Drosophila melanogaster: one gene and its partners. The protein of the gene in region 4 interacts with the protein of the main gene of each other region in a pairwise test. Each region holds a gene or a part of one and is shown on either strand. Other genes may lie near its edges.

Evidence for each region.
Region 1: the proteins of arm (region 4) and pan interact in a two-hybrid assay, tested with the Drosophila melanogaster proteins (3 studies listed by BioGRID).
Region 2: the proteins of arm (region 4) and Axn interact in a two-hybrid assay, tested with the Drosophila melanogaster proteins (2 studies listed by BioGRID).
Region 3: the proteins of arm (region 4) and Apc2 interact in a two-hybrid assay, tested with the Drosophila melanogaster proteins (4 studies listed by BioGRID).

What each region holds. Positions count from the first base shown.
Region 1 is NC_004353.4:88,610-93,392, reverse strand, and holds the start of pan (pangolin), read right to left. Parts: upstream 3,039-4,783; 5' UTR 2,180-3,038; coding exon 120-2,179; intron 1-119. UniProt on the Drosophila melanogaster protein: Segment polarity protein. Functions together with arm to transduce the Wingless (Wg) signal in embryos and in developing adult tissues.
Region 2 is NT_033777.3:30,021,178-30,025,876, reverse strand, and holds the start of Axn (axin), read right to left. Parts: upstream 3,036-4,699; 5' UTR 2,037-3,035; intron 1,451-2,036; 5' UTR 1,255-1,450; intron 412-1,254; 5' UTR 338-411; intron 1-337. Other genes in the region: RpS28a (ribosomal protein S28a), read left to right, coding at 3,279-3,473.
Region 3 is NT_033777.3:24,162,003-24,168,814, reverse strand, and holds Apc2 (adenomatous polyposis coli 2), read right to left. Parts: upstream 4,850-6,812; 5' UTR 4,642-4,849; coding exon 4,006-4,641; intron 3,943-4,005; coding exon 1,729-3,942; intron 1,532-1,728; coding exon 1,178-1,531; 3' UTR 878-1,177; coding exon of another isoform or gene 671-877; 3' UTR 551-670; downstream 1-550. Other genes in the region: CG5510 (uncharacterized protein), read left to right, coding at 12-341, 671-877; mRpS24 (mitochondrial ribosomal protein S24), read left to right, coding at 5,330-5,347, 5,408-5,597, 5,655-5,944; TBC1d7 (TBC1 domain family member 7), read right to left, coding at 5,989-6,075, 6,132-6,363, 6,424-6,812.
Region 4 is NC_004354.4:1,897,644-1,902,676, forward strand, and holds the start of arm (armadillo), read right to left. Parts: upstream 3,004-5,033; 5' UTR 2,867-3,003; intron 2,531-2,866; exon of another isoform or gene 2,401-2,530; intron 1,968-2,400; exon of another isoform or gene 1,661-1,967; intron 1,397-1,660; 5' UTR 1,368-1,396; coding exon 1,337-1,367; intron 1-1,336. Other genes in the region: Ldaf1 (lipid droplet assembly factor 1), read right to left, coding at 3,123-3,370, 3,422-3,634, 3,794-3,971, 4,070-4,159; CG32801 (uncharacterized protein), read right to left, coding at 4,509-4,819, 4,979-5,033. UniProt on the Drosophila melanogaster protein: Isoform neural may associate with CadN and participate in the transmission of developmental information. Can associate with alpha-catenin.

The DNA of each region.
Region 1 (4,783 bases), on a different chromosome or scaffold from region 4:
GCTGCTTGCAATAATCAACAGTTCATTAAAGAAAATAGGTACTATTAGGAGTGAGCATCGACTTCAACAGTTTTACAAAGAAATAAAGGGTTTAACCAAGTAAGGCGAAATAAAATTACATGTGTTTTGTCTTGCTTCCAATACTTAAGTCGTATGGGGCATCTATCATTGGAAAAATTTCAGTTTTCATTGATCCGGCATTTCCCTGTAAAGCGCATAGGCGCTCTTTAAACAGGTTAGTTATGGAAAGTTCCTGCGCTGTTAAAGATGCATTAGCCGAAGACAATGTCTTAGTAATTAAATGGGAAACATTTTCAGTTGGCAATGCTCTAATTGATGGCGACGTTTTCAGCTGATTAGTGATTTCGTTGTCAACATTTCCCCTTATTGCATTCGATTTAAAAGAATTTGTAGTCAGAGTTTCAATGTGCCTTGCAAGTCTTTGTTTTCTTCGGTTTTGACTTAGCCCGAAAATTCCAGAAACCATTCCAGTAGAGCATCCACTATTACTACCAGTCGATGGGGTTGAAGGTGCAGTAGAAAACTCAGGAACAAGTAGAGGATCGGTAACGATTGACTCAGCTGAACTTTCTCGATTGTAATTAAACACAATAGGCAATTGCGTTGTGACATTATAATTTTCTGTAACATCTGTTAAATTTGATGCAGATGTAAGCAAGCGAGAGGTTTCAATGTTAGAAGATGAAGACAATGAAGCATATTCTAAAATAATCTCAGCTGCAGTGCTACAAGGCTCTACGTCTTTTTTGTGGCGAAAGGTTTGCCTTGTCGAATGCCATATGCAAGTGGGTGCTGAATTTGATTCTTCGCAATCGCTTTTAACACTATCACTGTAGGATTCATGAGGGGTGCTAGCAGAGCTGGATTGATGCATATTAACAGATGATGCGAGTTGTAATATTATATCTTCTATTTCGACCAACGTTTTAGGTTTTGCTGAGGTCAAAAAAAAATCGGACTCACTTTCAACATCTGGAATCTTAGAGTGCACTGCATTTGTTTTCTGTGGCAAAATACTTTCATTAGACAGTGCTATAGCAGCTAATGCCATGATAGTATGTGTTGGTGTAGATGTATATTCACCATCTTCCTCTGATGGGAGTCCTAATCGTTGTAAGCTGCGAACATAATAGAGCTCAGCGCTGCTCCATTGATTATATAATCGTTTTACCTCTTCCAGTAAGTTTTCAATAGACTTGCGATTTCCATTTAGTTGTCGTCTTACACTTTCCTCAAGGGCTGAATTAGAGCCATTATTTACTTCAATGTGACTTTGACGTACACTTAACCTTTTCCTAAATTTACCTGAGCTATCTGAGAGATTATCTAGTTTTTTTTTAATGTCGATAAGAATGTTTTTTTGCTCCCTGATAAAATCACACGTGTGTTGTAAGTCGTACCCATCTAGGGCTTCCTTGTTCGATTTTAATTTTGGTGAGTAACAATTTTTGTCGTCTTGTTTATTTTTTTGTTCTGCTCTTTGATGAACGTTAGAAAATTCAAACAAAGGGGGATCTACACAACTTATGCTGTTTTCGATATCTTTAATTAACTTAATATTGTTATTATTATCCTGCGAAGATGGGGTTGACAGAAGCTCATCTTCTCGAAGCATGGTCTTTTTAGATCCCGAATAATGAACCATGTTGAATTTATTCGAATGAAATTCCCGTTCAGCTAGCTGAGACCGAAGAAGCCGAGCGTATAAAAGTTGTGTGGCCAAAAGCTGCTGCTGCGAGCATGGCTGCTGATTTAGCATACTATTCGTATATATACAAGAAAACATTTCATTTCGTTGGCGAAAACTGTCATTTTGCCAATTTTCTATTTCTTCAGCGGTTTGCCAAGGCTGAGAAATTAATTTATTCGGACTTAAAAGAAGTTCGGAAAACGATGCCTCCATTCCGTCTGATCTACTTGATGGTACAATACAAACTTTATCCAAATCATTGCAGTTATATTGTTCTATTTTGTTGGCAGTTAATTGCGTATATTGGTTATTGAACCCACCATCAGGGACCTGGCTCGTTTTCAAATTGATTGAACATTTTTTATCGTGCTTTTTTTGTAGATCCTCATTGCTCTTCTTTTTCTGGTAACTGATTAATTCGTTTGAGTTTAAATTAATTTCACTATTAGTTGTTCCACAGTGTGGCATTATCGGATTTTGTGGGAGCCTGCTGTTAAAATCCGTTCGGTGTTAGTCATTCGTTAACTTTTTGTTTTATATTTTATTTATATTATTTATTGGATAAATTGTATTTCAAAATTTTAAACATTTCTATTAACCTTTAGAATCTTAGTTCACCTTGATGACTCAAATTTAATTAAATTAGTACTTTTTCAAGCACCATTGTACAACTTTTCAACATTTCATACAGGGTTCGTTGTTTATAAAATTTTCTTGCAATATTAATGAGATTTAGATAGCGTAATATTTATGTTATAATCCAGAATCCATGCGTTGTTTTCATTTTTTTAATTATATAGAAATCTCATTTTAATTAACGTTACCCTGTTGCTCGACTGTTGCAATATGAGGTCGTAATTTTTTTTTGTTTTATTTGTTTGTTAATTGTAATTTCCACATTGTGTTAGAGGAAGCCACAATTGTTTTACTTATTTAGTTCACTGTTAATATGGTCAATAATCGGTTTATATACTATCTCCATTTATTCCGACATATTTATATTACTAAATCGATCAACACTATATTAGTATTATTATGGAAACAAAAGATGACATCCTATTTTTAAAACTTATATTTAATTTATAAATACACTTTATATGTAAACACTCGATTTCATCATACACTTCGTGTTATTATTCTACTTGTGTTCTAATGGACAAATCGAATAAAGATTATTTTTTTCATTTGTGTTCATAAATTGTTCTTTCCGGAAATTGTTCAACTATTTTTAGGCATTGATTCCTTTAGATAGATTTTTCGCAAAATTGTATATACTGCCACAACAATTGTCTGATTTACTCTCTTTCGGTCTTTAAAAATAAAACTTAACGATAAAGGTGTACGACGCGGAACAAGAGAGACAAGGACGAGCCATCGGCTCGAAAATAACTGCGTGAGAAACATTGCGCACAAACTTTGTATCGAGCACATGTTTGTAACGAATTTGTAAAAAAAAAGTAATAGATACTATTAAATTTGTTTTTTTTTTCATTCTTAATTCATTCTTAAGAAATAATAAAGTTGTTTAATCTGTATTTTAAAAATATGTACTTCTGTGTAATGTGAATTTTACTGCTGCGTAAATTTACATTTTTACAAGTAAAATCGCAAAATGATGTATTTTTACAAATATTTTACATGAAAATATTCATAGCATCCAATGTTGGTACGACTCTTTTCAAATTTGACTTTAATTTACATTTTTTCTATACGTAATTCCAGATTAAAAGTAACCCATTTTTTAATTTTATTCATATTTTGTGTATGTATGTTAAATTTTTTGGATTTTACCTGGCAACATAACACGTGCAAAACTCAAGTGCCTTCAGATATAGATGGCGCCATGTAATTTCAAATCATATCTACGAATATATATATTTATATATATATGTATGGGCTTCAACAACGGAATACAGTAAACTAAACAATATTATATTAAGCTTGAGTTAAATTTAAATTTTCTAGACCACCTTAACTTAAAGCAAATAATTTAACATTTTGATTTAAAAAATATTATCAAAATATTTTTTATAAATTAGTACTTGAAAATTACATTTTTCGAGGATATATATTAGAAATTTATTTATTCACTGAAAACGGTTGAAAAAATCGGTTGATTCTAAATTAAAGATGTGTAAAACTTCTTATCACTAATCTTAATTGGCCAATTCAACTGTTTACTTGCTCATAATTATGTTCGTTAGTATTAATATGTCTTCGAAGAAAGTTTATTTTCGGTTGTCAACAAAAAATATATTTGTATATATATATATAAATATTTTTCGCTTTTCACAAAGAAGTTTTTTAGACAAATAAAAAACCTACTTTAATACATTTTAAATCCATGCATTTTAAAAAAGGCCTCTAAAGTCCAGTGACTCGACCTAAGAAAAAAGCAAGAGAGAATGCTATAATCGAGTTCCCCGACTATCAGGTACCCGTTACTCAGCTAGTGTGAATGTGAAATTTCATAATTTTTCTGGGATGTCAATAGATATTGAGGAGTAAAATGAAAAAAAATTTTAAAATTGTTCCAAGGCGTGGGAGTGACTGGTTCGGCGGCTTTAGAGCGTTAAAGTGAGCGTGACAAAAATTGAAAATCGATAGAAATTTACAAGACTAATAAATCTAAATAAAATAAAAAAAATATCAACACGTTTTTCAAAAGTGTGGGCGTGGAAGTTTTGTGCGGCTTGTGGGCGTGGCAACATGAGTCAACAATGTGGCGCTGCGTCTTGGTCTCTAGGATCTGTACGGTGAATATCAACCTACTAGCTTTTATAGTAAACAACAATTAAAATAGAAGTATGCAACAGCTAGATGGAAGCCTTTACGATATATATTCTCTTAGTATATATATTTAGTATATATATACATTTAGAATAGATATATTTAGTATATATATATATATATTTAGTACATATATATTTAGTATATATATATTTACTATATATATATATTTACTATATATATATTTAGTATATATATATAGAATACATGTTCCTGATCACTAGCAGAGTAGTTCCGGGAACTAACAAACCTAGAAATGTTAGGTTTCGAAATCATAATAGT
Region 2 (4,699 bases), on a different chromosome or scaffold from region 4:
TGTTGCTCCTCTCCGAGACAACGGAAACTTATTCAATTCCTTAATCAGAGTGCTGCAGCCCAATAAACAATAGTGAAATCATGGTATCCTTATTGCACTAAGAGGATTTTTCAATTGAGTGAAAAGGTAGTTTCCGAATAATAACCAATTAAAAAGGATTTATTAAAACCCTTCAGGATGTCATGATTATTAGGTTTCGAGAAATGGAAAAGGACCTAAGTATATCAATGTAAATCAGTTTTTCATACTAGTTTATATTTCTGAGATTCTCGCATGCAATCGTAGTTGTCTTAAACTTCAAAACCATTGACAAAGTAAAAATAAGTTGTATACTCACATATGTAATTTGCATAAAAAATTCAACATGAAATCAGGGGAAGATATTGGTATTCCGAATGGTTCCAGTTGTTCCTGAAAGAATAGTGAAATGAAGAAAAGATTAGATCAATTGAAATCATTTTGAAATAAGCTAAGACAATATATAATACTAAAATATTTGTTCGAAAGACTAAGGTTGTAAACATATAGTTAAGAGTTTGGAAAAAAAAAAGATTAGAGCCATTGTTATCCATTTGGTATAAATTTATGTTATATGTTAAAGTTAAAGTTTTATCTGAAGACTAATGTTTCTAGCCTTACCAAGCATTATGGGATAGTTAAAAAAATTATGAACACTTTTACTCTGTTTTAAATATACATATATATAAATAAATGTATATAAAATATGTATATATAATAGGCAAGCTTTATACATAAGGATATTATCAATTATCAATTGGGAGAAAAGAGATTTGGCCATTGGGTATATTTTTGTTCGCCAAGAAAGTAAGTCCAAAACAATGAAAATAATTTTAAGAAAAATCTTTAGTCTCGTGCATCTCATAAATAATCATTCAAACCAAAACATAATACAAATACCATAAATAAATTAAACAAAAAAACTTTTTTATATGCCAGTCATAAATATTGCATCAAAGATAAAATTGGAAGGTATTTTAATAGAGATAAAATTGTATAAATATTATTTTTGGCTCAGCTTAAATAAATTTACATTTCAGAGCCCAAATCGAATTAGTTTTCAACACAGCGAACTTTAAATCAATCAGTAGCAACCACCCAAGTGCCTCCTTTTTTTCAATAAGCCATACATATTGGATTTGTGGGGGAGAAAATATTTCGCGCACGGGTGCATCCAATAAACGCCTAAATAAATCTAAAGAATGCTTTGAATATAAAGGGTGATAGAACACTAACCGATTAAACTCAAGTGAGAAATGGCCAACGCTTGAGAACATATCAATCCATAGCGCTGCAAGTCCTTTAAGATGGTTGAATCTTTTTATGTCCGGTTTGTAGAAATGTTTAACTACACGCTTCACTTAATTACTCTTATTCGCATAAATTCCTATTTACGTAGCTTATATTACAGTTGATGCAGTACATTCAGTACCTGAAAGAAGAGGATGTGTAAATTGTTAAATAGGTAACATTGTATATTATGGATATGAATGCAGGATGATAATATAATTATGTTTTACTGTTTTGTTAATTAATTGATTTGTTAATGAAGTTAAAAGATATATACAGTTTCTATGGGATCCCATTGGCACATACACCTCAGAAATAAATTAAATGTGCTGCAAACTAATTAATTGAGCAATATTTTAGTTGGATGATTAGAATTTGCATGGCGTTCTAAATGACTTTTTCAATGATCAGGTATCATCCTTCGATTTAATGAAATATACATTTCATAAAGTTACTATTATTGCAAAATATATGCTCACATTTCTTACAAAGGATCATTCAAATTACTATTAATATTTGAGATATTAGTTAGACGTGAATAAATTGTCTAATTCCAATCATTTCCCTTGATACAACTAGATCATTAATCAGACTTATGTTGTGCCTTTCTTAAAGTATTAATATTAGTCCTTAAGTAAGTTGTGCAAATCCAATAATCCACAAACTGCGTAAGAAAGTAATAGCATTAGTTATGGATTGTGCATGGGAATTCCAAGAGCAGTACTCACCCTTAGATTCGTGTATCCTCGGCTTCACTCAATTGGGATGGCAGACGACTGATCCTGGCGCAGTCCTGACGGCCCTGGCTCCAATCTTCGATGGCGGTGACGATGGCAATGGCGATGACGAGGTGGGTTTGGACGGGTGTAATTTGATTGTAGCTTTAACGGCTGGACGCTTCGATTTCAATTGCAACTTAGCTTTCAATTTCGATTTCAATTTCAACTTCAATTTCGATATCGACGAGGATGCTTTCATTTTGATTAGTGTGCTCAACGAGAGGGACGCGTGACTAACAATTAATGGAAGGACGATTTGTGGAGTTCAACAAACAAGCAAACGTAAACAAGAGAGTGTGGTTAACAAGGCGCTGGCACGATGACCGGACTAAATGCTAAACAAGGCTGCAGATCCTCTCCTCGCGCACGGATCCCGATCCTCTCCTCTGCTCTCCTCAACTCAAGTGGGCTGGCCCGAGGGCATATCCTATCCTATCCTATCCCGGTGTCTGAGCTGCCTGCTGTAAACAATGGCTGTATGTCTCTTAACTTAATGCTTCGCCAGGAGCAGTCATCCTCGTCCGCTGGCAACTTTGGGCTCTCCGCGGGGAGAAAATCGTGCTGAAGCGCCGCCCTCTAGAGCATTTCGGCGTCTCCGGGCTCCTGCACTGTGAGAAATCTGTGCTCGGTGGCCTTTCCACTCAGTTCTGCACCATTTGTGCACTTTTCCGTCTGCTGCTTCTTTATTTTGTGTATTTTGTTGCTGTTGCCTCCGCTGGTTGTGGGTGCTGCTGCTGTTGCCGTTCGATTTTCATGGACGTATCGCTGCGGGCCGCTGTGCGCCGAGTCTCCGGAACGCGCACACTCTTTTAGGGCTCCGTGGCGCCGCTTATTCAGTGGTAAATAATAGATTTATTGAATGGCAAAACAAAATGTAGTTCGACACAAATGTTAGACGGCGAGACGAACGATTACATGCTAGAGTTGCGTGGTTCGAAATCGAACTGGTTCGATAGCTCGCCTCGGGGATGCCAACTGGATTGCCAACACTGCGAAAGGTGGCAGCTCGACTTGGGGTCACCTTGTGGTTCGCGTCCGCACTTATGTTGCGCTACAAGGCCTACAGGTGGCGCCAGGGATGATAGAAGGGTAGATAGGTTTTCTATTTTCATCGACTGGAAAGGCAGCAGCACTCACAGCTTCAAATTCAAATCTTTTATTGTCGAACAATTCTCGAATTTCGTATTCAGCATGGACAAGCCTCAGTACGCTCGCGTGGTCGAGATCCTTGGACGCACTGGATCCCAAGGGCAGTGCACCCAGGTGCGGGTGGAGTTCCTCGGCGACCAAAGCCGCCAGATTATTCGGAATGTCAAAGGACCTGTTCGCGTGGGCGACATCCTGTCGCTGCTGGAAACTGAACGCGAGGCCAGGAGACTGCGCTGATGTATGAATTACACCTGTTTGATTTCCCAAATCAAGTTAATAAACGATTTTGTTTGTTCAATTTTTAAATCCCAAACTATCGATTTCCTATCGCTAAGCTATCGATTCTTGCCATCGCAGCCCTAACAGCTGTTTGTGTTGATTCCGATTCCGCGAGACACTCGGATACAGATACTCACGCTCAGATACTCAGTTACTCAGCTACTCAGATACTCGTTCGCAGCGGACGGCCGAGCTGAGATACTCGATCGCGAGCTTGTTGTTGCCCCAGCCAGGCGAAAGTGAAAACGGAACGCCCAGATGAACGCCGAATAAATCAAGCGAAGTAGCAACAAATGCGGGAAATGTGAAAATGCGCGCGGCAGTGGGTTGAAGCGAGACGGGTAGAGCTAGAGAGATGCCCGTTTGCCCGCTGTGCGTGTGTGTGTGTGCAGCGGCGGCCGTAGCAGCTGCTGGTATGTGTGTGTACCGCAAGTGCAGGAGCCTGCATTGCAAAAACAAAAGCGAGTGCGAAAAGAACAGCAAACAGGATTAAAAGTGACGGATTCGATTCCCCGGGGAATCCTACCAATTAGTGCAAATTCCGAAATGCACGGAAAAGCGAACGAAAGCTGCGAATTCGTTACACTGCTGCACTTGGACTTTTCGGGGCGCTCTGAAAAATCGATTGACCGCAAGGAAAGTGGCGACCGCGAAATAATGCAGGCATTGGGCTCCTTCGAGGCAGCTGCACTGCGCGAAAAGTCCAGCAAAGGTGAGTGCGGACAGCTAGGGCAATTAAAGCAACAAAAGGCCAAAGATTGTCGTTAAATTCGATCCATAAAAAGTGGGCGAAAAAACAATGCAAAGCGTACGGCGCATTTGCCTGAGTTTTCGTGTTTGTTTGTTTTGGTTTTTTGCCTTCGCTTTCGGCACGTCAATTTTCGCCACTTATTTCGTAACAACTAAACCGAAAATACCTGTTCGTTCCACGCCCCCTGCCACCGCCCACCTCCCACCGCCCCCCGACACACCCAAAAAAAAAGTGCTTGCATTTGCGAATAGAGGTGGTTCCTACACCGGAAGAAATTACTGCCTGCGATTTAATGTTATTATTCTAATTAAAAAGCCTATGCATTATGAATATTTCATTCATAAATAAATCAAAGTCAATGAACTTTTATCTGTTGCTGCAAGCGCTCATTTATTCATAGAAACTAGCTTAAATGGTGAATATTTCATTCGGT
Region 3 (6,812 bases), on a different chromosome or scaffold from region 4:
TATATTTGTAGCACCAACATCCATATCTCAGCGCCATGGTGAACAATGGCAGCTGGAGCTACGACCACGATCGCGATGGAACGCACACTCAGCTGGCCGGCTGCGAAGTTCGTTTCCGCAATGTGGAGTACGAGACGCTGGTTAGCATTCGATACGAAAACGACATTCTGTCGGTTTCCACAGATCTGGAGAACCGCAACGAATGGAAGAACTGCTTTGTAGTGGCCAACGTTGAGCTACCCACGGGCTACCACTTCGGCATGTCTGCGACGACGGGTGATCTGTCCGACAATCACGATATTCACAGTTTCAAGTTCTATGACCTGGACTTGAACGTAAATGTAAGTTCACTTTTGTTTGCCAAACTTCGGAAGCGAAGTAAGCATTACTCAGCTGTCTGCTATTTGGCTAACGCGATAAGGAGTGCAAGGAACCCAAAAGCGGACTTAAGTTTCAATAACTGCGTATACGTATAAAGAAAAAAGAGTGAACTTGTTTTTAATTGCTGCAACTTGTAATAATTAAGCAGCTGGCTTTAAACACATTGTTTGATGCCTAATCATGTTTATCTTTATAAGCCGTGTGTTATAATATTTATATCATATTACTGAAAACCAGTTTTACTTTCTTGTTGCAATAACCATCTTTTTACTTTCTTTCTTGTTCGCAGCACGATGAGATTATCCGGCGCTCCAATATCATACCGAATGCCAAGACATTCGAGCCCCCGCGCGAGCACAAAGAAGATCCCAAGCCGGGAATGTCCAACGCCAAGATCTTCTTCATCCTTCTCTTCGTGGTTGTCGTGGCGGCTGCAGTGGCCATCTTCGCCATCTCCTACTTCAAGGATCGCAACGCGCGAAAACGTTTCTACTGAGCTCTCTAGCTAGTTCATCACAGTAGCATCATGTTAGGAGTTACCCGGACCTCAGTTGATCGCAACTTTTATTTATATTTATACCGCGACTGTATCCCATTTCTTATCACCCTTTTTAGTTTCCTTAATTGTTTAGTGAGAGGGTAAACATAATATTACACGTGTTGGAGAGTTAAATTTAAGTGCAAATTTTTAATCTGAACTATAGGAAAATTGAGACCGTGAGAATATTATTGCGTAGACAAGATTAAAAGCCACTAAACAAATGCATGCGCTTCTCAATTAACCAACCATCCGCTTCTAGTGCTGACGCCCAGCCAACATGGACTCAATCTGGCGCACCTGGTTACTGACAAATCGATCCCGGGCACTGATCTCCTGGCGCTGCCCCGGCGGCTCACCCTCCGACTCCAAGGCGTCGTTGGACTTATGCATGCCGCTCAGAATGCACTGCTCAAATAGCGACTTGGACCGTGCATCATCGTCGTCGTCGTCTAGCGAGTCATCTGAGCTGTAGTTCGGCTTATCGCCATGCTCCACCTGCTTCTTTGACTGCCCATTTTCCCTGCATAGAGTGCTGGTACTAGCGTTCGCCAGGCTGGAGCTGGTACTGGCACCGCTGGGCTGAGGTCGACAACTTCCCGCAGCAATGGCCTATAAAAAGAGGGAACAACTTTAATATTTCTGATTTTAGCGAGAATTTTCTGACTGCATTTTAAATTTAACTTTTGTGAAATATCAACATTCCGATTGCTAAATCTACAAAGACACTTATTTTTGAGTGAGTCTCTCACAAAATGTTTATATGGTGAAATATATCAAGTGTTTTGAATGAAGTATCCTTTTCTCACCTGACTTAGAAGATTACAGTCGTCATCCGAGTCCATGGACAATGAGCTCAGTGAGTCGCTTTTCTTCGGCGGTAAGCGTGGCTCCGCATCTCCTTGAACGGCACTACGTCTGGGAGGAAGTTTGGGTGCCTGAGCCTCTTCTGCAGTCCTCATTGGCAGCTTCAGAACAGGCCCAGCCTTAGCAGAGCCAACAGTGAGATGGGATAGTCCCGAGATGACCGAAAACGTGCAGGGACTGTCCTCGACATAGTACTTGCTCATTTCATCCGACACTGGCAGATAACTGGGCAATGCATTGCCACCGCAGCGCATCTTAGAGATTGCATCTTCTGCCGGCATCCGAGTGTCCATTCCGGTAACATCAGCTCGCGGAGCAGGCACTGGCTGCGCTTCATTCGCATTTAGATCATTCGGGATGGACAAAATGGACAGATCACTATTGCTTGGCGCTTTGGAAAGCACGGCAGTAGTGTCCTCTGTGCAATAGCTGCGAGGAGCATCCCCATTGCCGTTGATGTCATTTCCACGCTGTCCTCGAATAGCGTTTGCATTAGAGTCGTCCATCATGCTCAGATTACTTAGACTGGTGGCGCAGGAGAAGGCAGCAGGCGTGTGCTCCACGTGGAATCTGTTCAACTTGTCCTCAAACACAGTACTGGGCTTCTGTTCAGGTGTGTCCAAGTTATTTTGAGTGGACACTTTTCTGTCCCTTCTCGGAGATTGAGGCATACTCTGGGTGGGTGAATCGGGCAGCTCTGAGGGGGAAATAACACCACTCTGCATCCGGCTGTATTCACTGATCACGGATCCATTGTCCTCGCAGGCAACCGTTTCGTCGTCGCCAACCAATGAGTCCATAGAGCTGCGACGCGAAAACATTAATGGAGTTTCTAGTGCGGAATCGATGTTTTGAGGCGTATTTCCGTCAACGTGCACCGGGAGAACCGCAGTTTTCGTTGGAGTTTTTGGCGGCATACATTTCTCCGGTTTCTCTGTGAGGCTGTTGAGCGAGTCGAAGCGACTGAAGCTGCCGGGAGTCCCTTCTTCACAGTAGTTTATTGGTCGCTCTGCCGTTTCCGTCTCCGTTTCGGTGGCAATTTTCTGCTTAGCTGCTGAAACCGCCACCAGGCCAGGACTATTGCGCAGCTCCGTGGCCGAGGAGGACTTTGTCAGTTGCAACTCCTTACTTCTAATCTCATTGGTCTCCGACTTCAGCTCCGGCTGTGCCGTCTGAGCGGATCGTCTCTCCTTATATCTAGCACTGAAATCCGTTGGCTGATCCAAGTCGATCTCAAAGGTCTTACTGCTATTGGGTTTGTGCTCCATGTACTTCATGGAGTAGTCAATGGGCTGCTCTTCAGTGGGTGTCACAATTTCGAAGGGATTCTTCGCTCCCTCCGACTTGGTTGAGTATTTAGTGGAATCGGATTTGCCCGAGTAAATGGACTCTCGGCTCTCACATTTTCTGTTCAGAAAGCCAGTTGTGCTGACTGTTGAGGGTCGCACTTTCTTAAGCGATCCCGTGGGATTTGAGCTTAGGCGCAGTGAGCTGAATCTCCGTGGCAGCGTACCTCCATGGCCAGCTTCCTTGTCTAGTGGCAGTGACCCACCATCTCCATTGGGCATAAGCTCCTGAGTGGCCCTGAAATTAACTAGGTTTTTCAAAGCCGAGGCACTGCCCTCCGCAATCATGGAGTTCTTGGAGCTGATTAGGGCCCGCAAGAGCGGGATGGCATTGTGGTCAATGAGGTATTGCTGGTCCTCGGGACAGCGCGCCGAGAGATTCCACAGAGTTCCGCAGGAGTTGCTTACCACGGTTAGGCTCTCCGATTTCAACTGTTGCAACAGAATGGCAAGGCAATTGTACCGTCTTAGGATTTGTCGGTACGGCTCACACACCGCAATATGGCTCGATACATTTCGAAGAATGCCGCCTGCATTTTCGATGATCTTAAGAGTTTTACTCGGACCCTCGTAGCTAAGCATTCCGACCAAAAATGCCAGTGCTCCGTCTACTGCACAAAACTCCGCCTTGTTGGTGCTGCAGTGCGCTGAGAGATTCCAAAGGGCTGAAAGTATGGCCTTGAGAGTGTTCTCGTTCTTGTTTTGCATGGCTGCTCGAGCCAAGGAGGTCACAGTACCCAGCTCGTTAAAGATAGTCTTCATGTGTTTGTCCGCGCGCCACGAAAGATTGCGAAGCACACCAGCAAGAACCTGATGAGATCAACGGTAATTAAATTACGATCTTTTTTTCTTAATCTCCAAGATTAAACTCACCTGTAGCAGTTCATCCGGAGCCGTGTTCAATTGAGCAATGACCACTTCCATGAACTGTCGCTGACCGCACAGATACGATTTGTTATGGACGTTCTCGTCTCCGAAGGTGAGATTCGTGAGGGCCATGAGGCCGTAGCTCCTGAGGGCGTTGCACTGTTCCCTACCGGCAGCCGGTCCATGGACCGCATGATCAAGGTGGACCAAATTGGGAATCGCCTTGAGGGCTCCCAGTTCGCACATAGTCTGGCGGTGCTCCTCGTCGAAACTGGCTTTCATCAGGAGCTTCATAGCCGCCAGCGGATGACGATCTTCATCATCTGCGATAGCCTCACCGCCGCTCTGCAACTGGGTGTGCAGAAAGTTACAGTAGTCGAGGATCTGGTCCAGCAGGCGCAGCATCTTCACCTCCCGCTGGCGCTCCTTCTCCTCCGGATTATTGTGGACGATGTTGTGCAGCGCCTGGCTGGCGTACTTTTTCGCCGTGGAGAGGCCTTCGTCGTTGGCGTGCAGAATCTGCACCAGAAGCTGGATACAGTCCGAGCTGCGCAGGGCGGTGCATGTTTCCGGATTTCGAGACAGTTCCAGGAAGTTGCGCGTCAGCTCCAGGCGAGTAGCGTCGCTCTCGTTCAGCGTCATTACTTTGAATGTATCCTCACCTATTAGTGCATTCGGATACCAGGGATTCTGGGAATAAACCTTTGCAGCTTTGCTTCTGGATGAGTCCTGTTGCACGGTCGCTTCAACAGGTAGTTCCTTCTGATCTGAGATCCTCGATCTTTGTTTGAGATGGCCTGCGTTTAAGCCATTTTCCAAGCGCGCAGGCTCAGCGCTCCAGTGCTACCGATTAAGCTAATTTATAGCTAGTTCTGCCCAAGTTCAATGATCAGTCAAAGTTCTTTCGAATAAAGGGATTAATACAAAGTTAACTCTATTTATTAAGGAAGCTCTCAAAATGTTGTTTATTTATATATTTTAAATAAGCGTGCAATAATTTTATTACATTACATTATTACATTTTCCCACCGACAACTGTTGACAACTCTGCCCCGCTTTAAAACAAAATAAAAATCGATTTTAATCAATGCAATAGAGATCCAAGTATTGCATTTAAGAACTAAAAAGGGCATTTACACAACTAAAAATTAATCTTTCTGTGTTTTTATTTAACTACTTCCTTCAATGTTGTTTTTTATTTTATAGAAAATATTTTCACTACACAATAATAATATCGAATACTTATCTATAAATTTGTCCATCTCTAGCGAACCGTTACGTCACGTCAATCAGCTGTTGCTGGACGCAAAATTGTTTCTGCCGCAAAATAATGAACTTCTTGAAAAAGGTGTGTTAAATAACAACAAACAGGACAAATTATATATTAAAATAACCTAATCTATTGCAGCTGTTGCCCCAGGTGGCGACCGAGGTGCAGCAGCTCAGCCGGTCAGGATTCCACACCAGCTCCGTGTGCTGTCGCGTGCAATCCGGGCGATACCGCATAACCACAAAGCGAAACAGGCCTCTTACCTACGAGATGGCCAATCCGCCGCATTTTATTGGCCACCGCAAATCGTGGAACTCATGGAACACGTGTAAGTTGTGAGAAAATTTTATTAAGGAAGCATTTTGATGGCCACCTTCTATCTTAGCAACAATGAAGGATGCCCTGCGTCCGTCCCAGACCGCCATAGAGGATGTGTTCATCCGCAAGTTTGTCACCGGCACATGGCATGCCCTCGTCTGCTCCGAGGTCATTATCAAGCGACAGCACAACACCATTAGGATCGCGGCCCTTATTCGGCAGGCGATTACACCGCGAAAAATGTACTTCCTTATTGGTTACACGGAGGAGCTGCTCTCCTATTGGATGCAGTGTCCAGTGACCTTGGAACTGCAAACGGTGGGCGATAAAAAGGACGTGGTCTTCAAATACATTTAGTTCATTCTGCTATATACATGTCCAATATAAAAGTGTAGATTTACTTAGTGCGTGTACTCGACTTCGCTGCTGTTGTTTTGTAGTGATTTGATGGCCTTGTTTACGATAATAACACCGTCAAGATCCTTTACCTAAGGCAAATTTTGGATAAGTTATGGCTTAGCAAATGGTTTCCTTATTTACTTACCGTTTCTATAAGTCTTTTGACGTCTGCTAAAGATGTTTGCTTTAGTATCGAGGACCTTATGTCCTTAACTAGTTCTACAAACAGGAAAACAACAATCTTCCGGGACCCTCCACAGACTTTGTCCCATATCTTGACCAAATGAGTTGTACAGATTATTCCAGCAAAGCAGGTTATATACCAGTTATCCAGTAGCGTTGAGTTGCCATCAAACAGGCCCAGAAGCTCCAGGTGACTATAAGGAGTAATCGAAGAAAATTGGTCAAATAACCCGACTAACCATATGCAAACTCACTTAAGCAAGGACAAATCTTCGCGCTTCAGTATATTCTGCGTTTGCTCCTTCAGCTTGACGCACTCCTTCTTCAGTTCGCGGGTGTACTTGTAGAATCCCTTTGCTATCCAGTAGGTTTCCACGTTGTCGTCGAATATCTGCAGCAACGTGCGCACAATCTCTATGAAGTGCATGTCGTCCGCCTGGAGACTGGCACTAGTATTGCCATGCCACAGTCGATTGGACTCTATCAGCCACATGGTGTGCATGACCTGTGCTTTCTTCTTATGGTCTATCAGCCACATGAAGGGCTGCTCCTTCTGCTTATGGTCGGTAAACCGGAGCACGGTTACCGCTCGCCGCAGATCCTCGTACATTTCGCGTCTTTGGTCGCGTACGTACGCCGTGGA
Region 4 (5,033 bases):
AGCACATGCGACTGTAATACTGTAATCGCTTTTCGTTTCATTTCCCAAATCGATTAAGCGTTTTTTCTTCGCCATATCCGTCGAGTGGGCCACGCACTTGAATGGAGTACTGTGTTGGGATGGAGGGCGCGGGCGGAGCCTTTAATTGCATGTTGCCGCTTACTAATTAAATTCTGCACAGCAGCAGCGCCAGAAAAAAGCAAAGGCAGAAGCCAAGAAAAATGTGCAGCCAACTCGACTGCGAGTTCGGGAGACGGGGTACGAGAACAAGGTCCCCGGAGAAGACCAAGGAGCGATGGCAAAAGGGTGGCGTGGGTTGGAGTGCCACGTGCAAGTACACGAGTCCTTGAATGTGTGTGTGCGTAAGTGGATAGCATGGGGAGGGAATGGAGTTTCAAAGGATAGTGAGCAGCGGCCTACTCAAGGGGGTTTCGGGGTTGTACAGCAATTAGTTGAAAACTAAACTAAATACTTAATAGTGGTCGAATTAAAAGGCCACTTCCTAAATGGCTATGAACTGTTCACTACTGTCGTCCTAGATATTGACATTCCTCGACTTTCTGTGGCAAAAGTGATGGGAGTTCAATGAAGCCAACATGCATTAACGAGCTCCTCCCCTTTGGTGAAGTCCTCTCCTGCGCCTCTGAGAGCCTCACCAACGCGCTCTGCAAATCAAGTGTCAAAAAGAAATCTTCTTTCCTACTCCGTTTACTGCGTCAGCGGAAAAGTGTAAATTTCAAACTCCGAAGTAGAAGGGAGCGCTTTTTTTTTTGATGAATCGGATATAAGCACAGGCCGCTGGTGGTTGATGGCCCAACAAAAAAAAGATCATCAAGCATTACAAGTATGTAGATGTACACAAATTATTTGTCTGGGGTGGATGGATATAGTTGTTACCCTGTATTCTGCAGACAACCCACAAAGGGAATATCAGAAACAAATGACAAAAGCAAATACTTTATGTCAAATTTGCCAAATTTGTCAAAAACAAGCATCGCTCCCTCATTTAACGTTGGAGAGGGGTTGTTATTGTATTGCGATACGGGGATAATTGTTTCACAGATACAATGCGCTGTTGCATCCCCTTCATAGGGCCATGTATTCTGACTATTTATCCTAAATGTTCTAAACTCTAGAGCTACCATGACTTAATTGCGTCCATTGAAACGCAATATCATCTCTAATTTGATGAAATCGGATCCTGTATACAACTGCATTTGGACTGGGTATACAAAAGCCCAAAGTGGAACACTCTGATACACAGTTAACTTTGATGCTCTTTGCATACTCCCTGGAAGATGGGAAAGGGAAGAGTACCGCTGCTGGAAATACTTACTGGTTCGATTCTGGGCTGGCATGTAACTCATCTTGGTGATTGAGGCGCTTTACACCACACCTGCAAGAAAGAGACGGAGAGTATATGAGTAATGTGCTGGACAGTCAATAACATGGAGTTCGTGTGTGCTTCGGATGGAGACCACGGAACTCCACTAAATGGGGGCCCCGGAAAGAAGGGCTTGTTGTGTTTGCAGACTGCCAACAGACGCAGATATCGTCCGTTAGTCACTTATTCTAGTCGTTGGTCTTTTTTTTTAACTCATTTCCGCTTTGAGATGCCGAAGCATAATATGAAATATGCTGCGTATACAAACAAACGCACTAATACATTCTTACGCAGGTAGAACGGGTATTTGTGGGTATGTGTGTGTCTACCTGCCGAAGACTTTGGCCACGAACCTTGAGTTATTTAATTACTTTGTTTAGCACTCTTTCAAATCTCATGCACTCCAACAAAAAACAAAATGGATTTTTCACTTCTCTCGAAAAAGGCGCAGCGGAAAATGCGACCGACCAGCACGCTCGTTTAAACGGAACAGAATCCAGATGCGGAGAGCGCAAGCAAAGCAAGGCACTTGCAACACCGCGCGTGCGGAGTGCGGGAAAGGGACAGGGAAAGAGACTGGGAGAGAAAGTAAAGGGCCGCGGCAGTGCAGCATACAAATGCAGTGCTGCGCAGAGTTGCCACACATCCAAACGATTGTGCCTACACACACATACTCGCGTAGGCAGCTCAGAAAGAATCCCAACTCCATTTCAGTTGTCGATTAGATAAAACACCTAACGATAAGCCTGCCTCTAGATTCGAAGAAAACGATTTCCTGTCTGTGGCATTGTTTACATTCCAGCGAGCAACAAAACAAGCGCCCGATTTACGGGGGAGGAATACATAAAAATGCCGTTTGTGTGTATCCAGATCATACACACACACATACACAGGCGCACATCCAGCGAACCCCTGCCCACCCCCGCGCCGACTTGTTTGCCATGGCTTTCCAACTTTCATGGCACACAGAAACTTTGGCTTTCCAAACGGATTCACTACCGACTAACAGTACTCACCGCGTCCAAGGAATTTAAGTCTGCTTTAGAGCAGGATTTATTTATTTAAAACGCTATAAGAAACAAAATAACAGCGAATTGTCTGCTCGAGAAAAACTGTGTATATGGCGACGAAACCCAACTAGCGATGGCCTGCTGCTGTCCCGATAACTCGATGGGCCCTGTGCGATAGGCCAAAGGAATTTTTCAAATTTTTTTTGTTCTGAGAACACAAAAATCTCACGAAATTTGTATAGCATTTCATCCTTAAGAAACTCAATTCACAATATTTATAATTTAGCTAAGGCGAATTTATTTCTAGTTCATGTTATCATGTTATCTCGAACTCACCGTTTATCTTGTATAAACATTTACCAACACAAGCACCTGAGTGTACATGAGGGTGTATGACAACACAGGTACGACCAAAAACTATTGTTTTTGGGCGACGAATTAAAGAAATATCTATGACTTTACTATTACTTACCGCTTCGAAAGTAAATTTATCTGCTCAAAGGCAGGTTAACGCACTTTTGACGCACTTAGATATTTAAATTCGACAAAAATCCCCGACTATGAAAACTGTGTATATGAGCGCAGAACAGATAACCGATAACTCCTCTATCGCAGGTGGCTGCCAACTTGCTTCAAAATAGAAAGCGCACTTTTTAAATTTCCAAAAGTATTCAAACACTGGTCTTTAATTTCTTAATACATATTTAAGTTGGGCAAGCAATATTGGTTTATGCAGTCGTAGAAGTGGGTTCATCGGTTATGGTCACAGCAGCTGGCGGCGGATCGCCGGCCTTCCGTTGATCCCTAAAGAACATGACCCACGCGCTCTTATGGATCTCTATTCCATCACATAGGCCATACACCTGGGCAAATCCGAAATAGGCAGCAACAGCGGCGACACCGAAGAGAGGTACCATTATGACTAGTCCTCCCAGGCAGGCGAAGAACACCATGGACACAATGGTCAGGAGTGTGCCTAAAACGAGTCGATAAGAACGTGATCTCTGGTAAACACTACGGAACGCACCTTCTAGCACCAGCAAACCTGTAAAGGTCATAACCATGGTGGCTATTCCAAACCCAAATATTATAAGGAAGGGCAGCATGAATACAAGACCACCAGCTAGCAGGCAGATAGCAACGTGCGGATTCCGGGTGCACCAGGCCGCGGTGGCCTCCAGGAAATCATTTCCACCTAGCTCGGACATCACAAAATCTGCCAGGCGGCAGATTTGAAGCCCTGCAATATGGCAACGTTATAACAAAGGCAACTTTTGTTACGCGGTGTGATGCATAAAACAGGTTAACAACCGTACAGAGTAGTACATATATAAGTAACTAATTGTGGCAGTAAGCAATTAAGCGCTTTTACAGATAGTACTTCAACTAGTGGACATACATGACCTGTAGAGAGTCTGGAGCAAGCTCTCCAGGAACTGGTCGCCAGTCAGAACTCCTGCACTACGATCGCCTGGGCCATGTATCTTTACGTGCTCCGGTTTGCTCTCTGTTCCCGATCCCGCAGACTTCTTGGCGTTTGCCTCTTTGGCTGCTTTGCGAGCCTTGTTCGAGTGAGCCTGCAGAGTCGATCAAATCAAATCAGTTATGAATATTATGTGAGTCAAAGAACCCAAGTGATTAGATGCCGGCTGCCACTGAGTCCGTGAAACGCGACCTTTGACTTGCGATGCCGATTCCAGCCGAAATCTACGGATTCTTCCGAAGATGCCGGAACACCCACTTCACTCACACCCGTACCCACCATGTTGCGTGGCTACTGCGAGAATCTCAGGCGGTTGCTGTGCGCATTACAGGAGGAGTCTGTTCCAGGTTCATTCGCCTGCTTGAAGCAACAGTAAATGAAAACAATATAAATAAACAAAAAATAATCGACGTCGTAGCCCTGAAACTAAATCATCGAGGGAGAGCTGCCACCTTTTTTTTTACTAAATTTGAATTAGACAAGATGCGTTTCTTAATAATGATCTAGCGTGGCTTAGTTTTGCTTTTTAATCATAATTAATTTGTTTACAAAAAAAAAATTAACACTATGTTAAAAAAAAAATTATAAATTTATAATGGCGGTCAGCGTGCGACATTTCTTCGCCGTAGGATTAGTGAAGCAGGAATCTGAGTCCGTTAAACGGAGGACGCGCCGTAATCCTCTCCGCCACCAAGCGCTCCCCGTGAACAGTCATGCCGCAGCGCACCTTCTTGGCATGCAGAAAGTTCAGATCGGCGGCTCGCTCTCCACTTTTGAGCGGCAACCAGCCGTACACCTGCGACTCCAGGAGCGGAACAGCTTTTCCGAGCTGCCTCTGACGCTCCACATGCTTCTCAGGCCAAGTGTGCCGTAGGTACCTCAAGGTATCCGTCGGCTGGCGTTGCTCATACTGGGCGTAGAACTTCCGTGTTAGCGGATGAACTGGAAGGCAGGAGAAGATATTATTAGCAGTAGTGAACAATTTTGTAAACTATTGTAAAACTTTCAATGATTAAAGTTTTATTTTTACAGGAGCGCTACGATGCAACAAGCTTGTCCTCAAACATGATATACCGAGCTAACCAGAAATCTCTAGCATACCTTGGCTCACTGGAACAAAGGTTTCGTAAAGTCGGATGTGCCGGTTAGATCTATG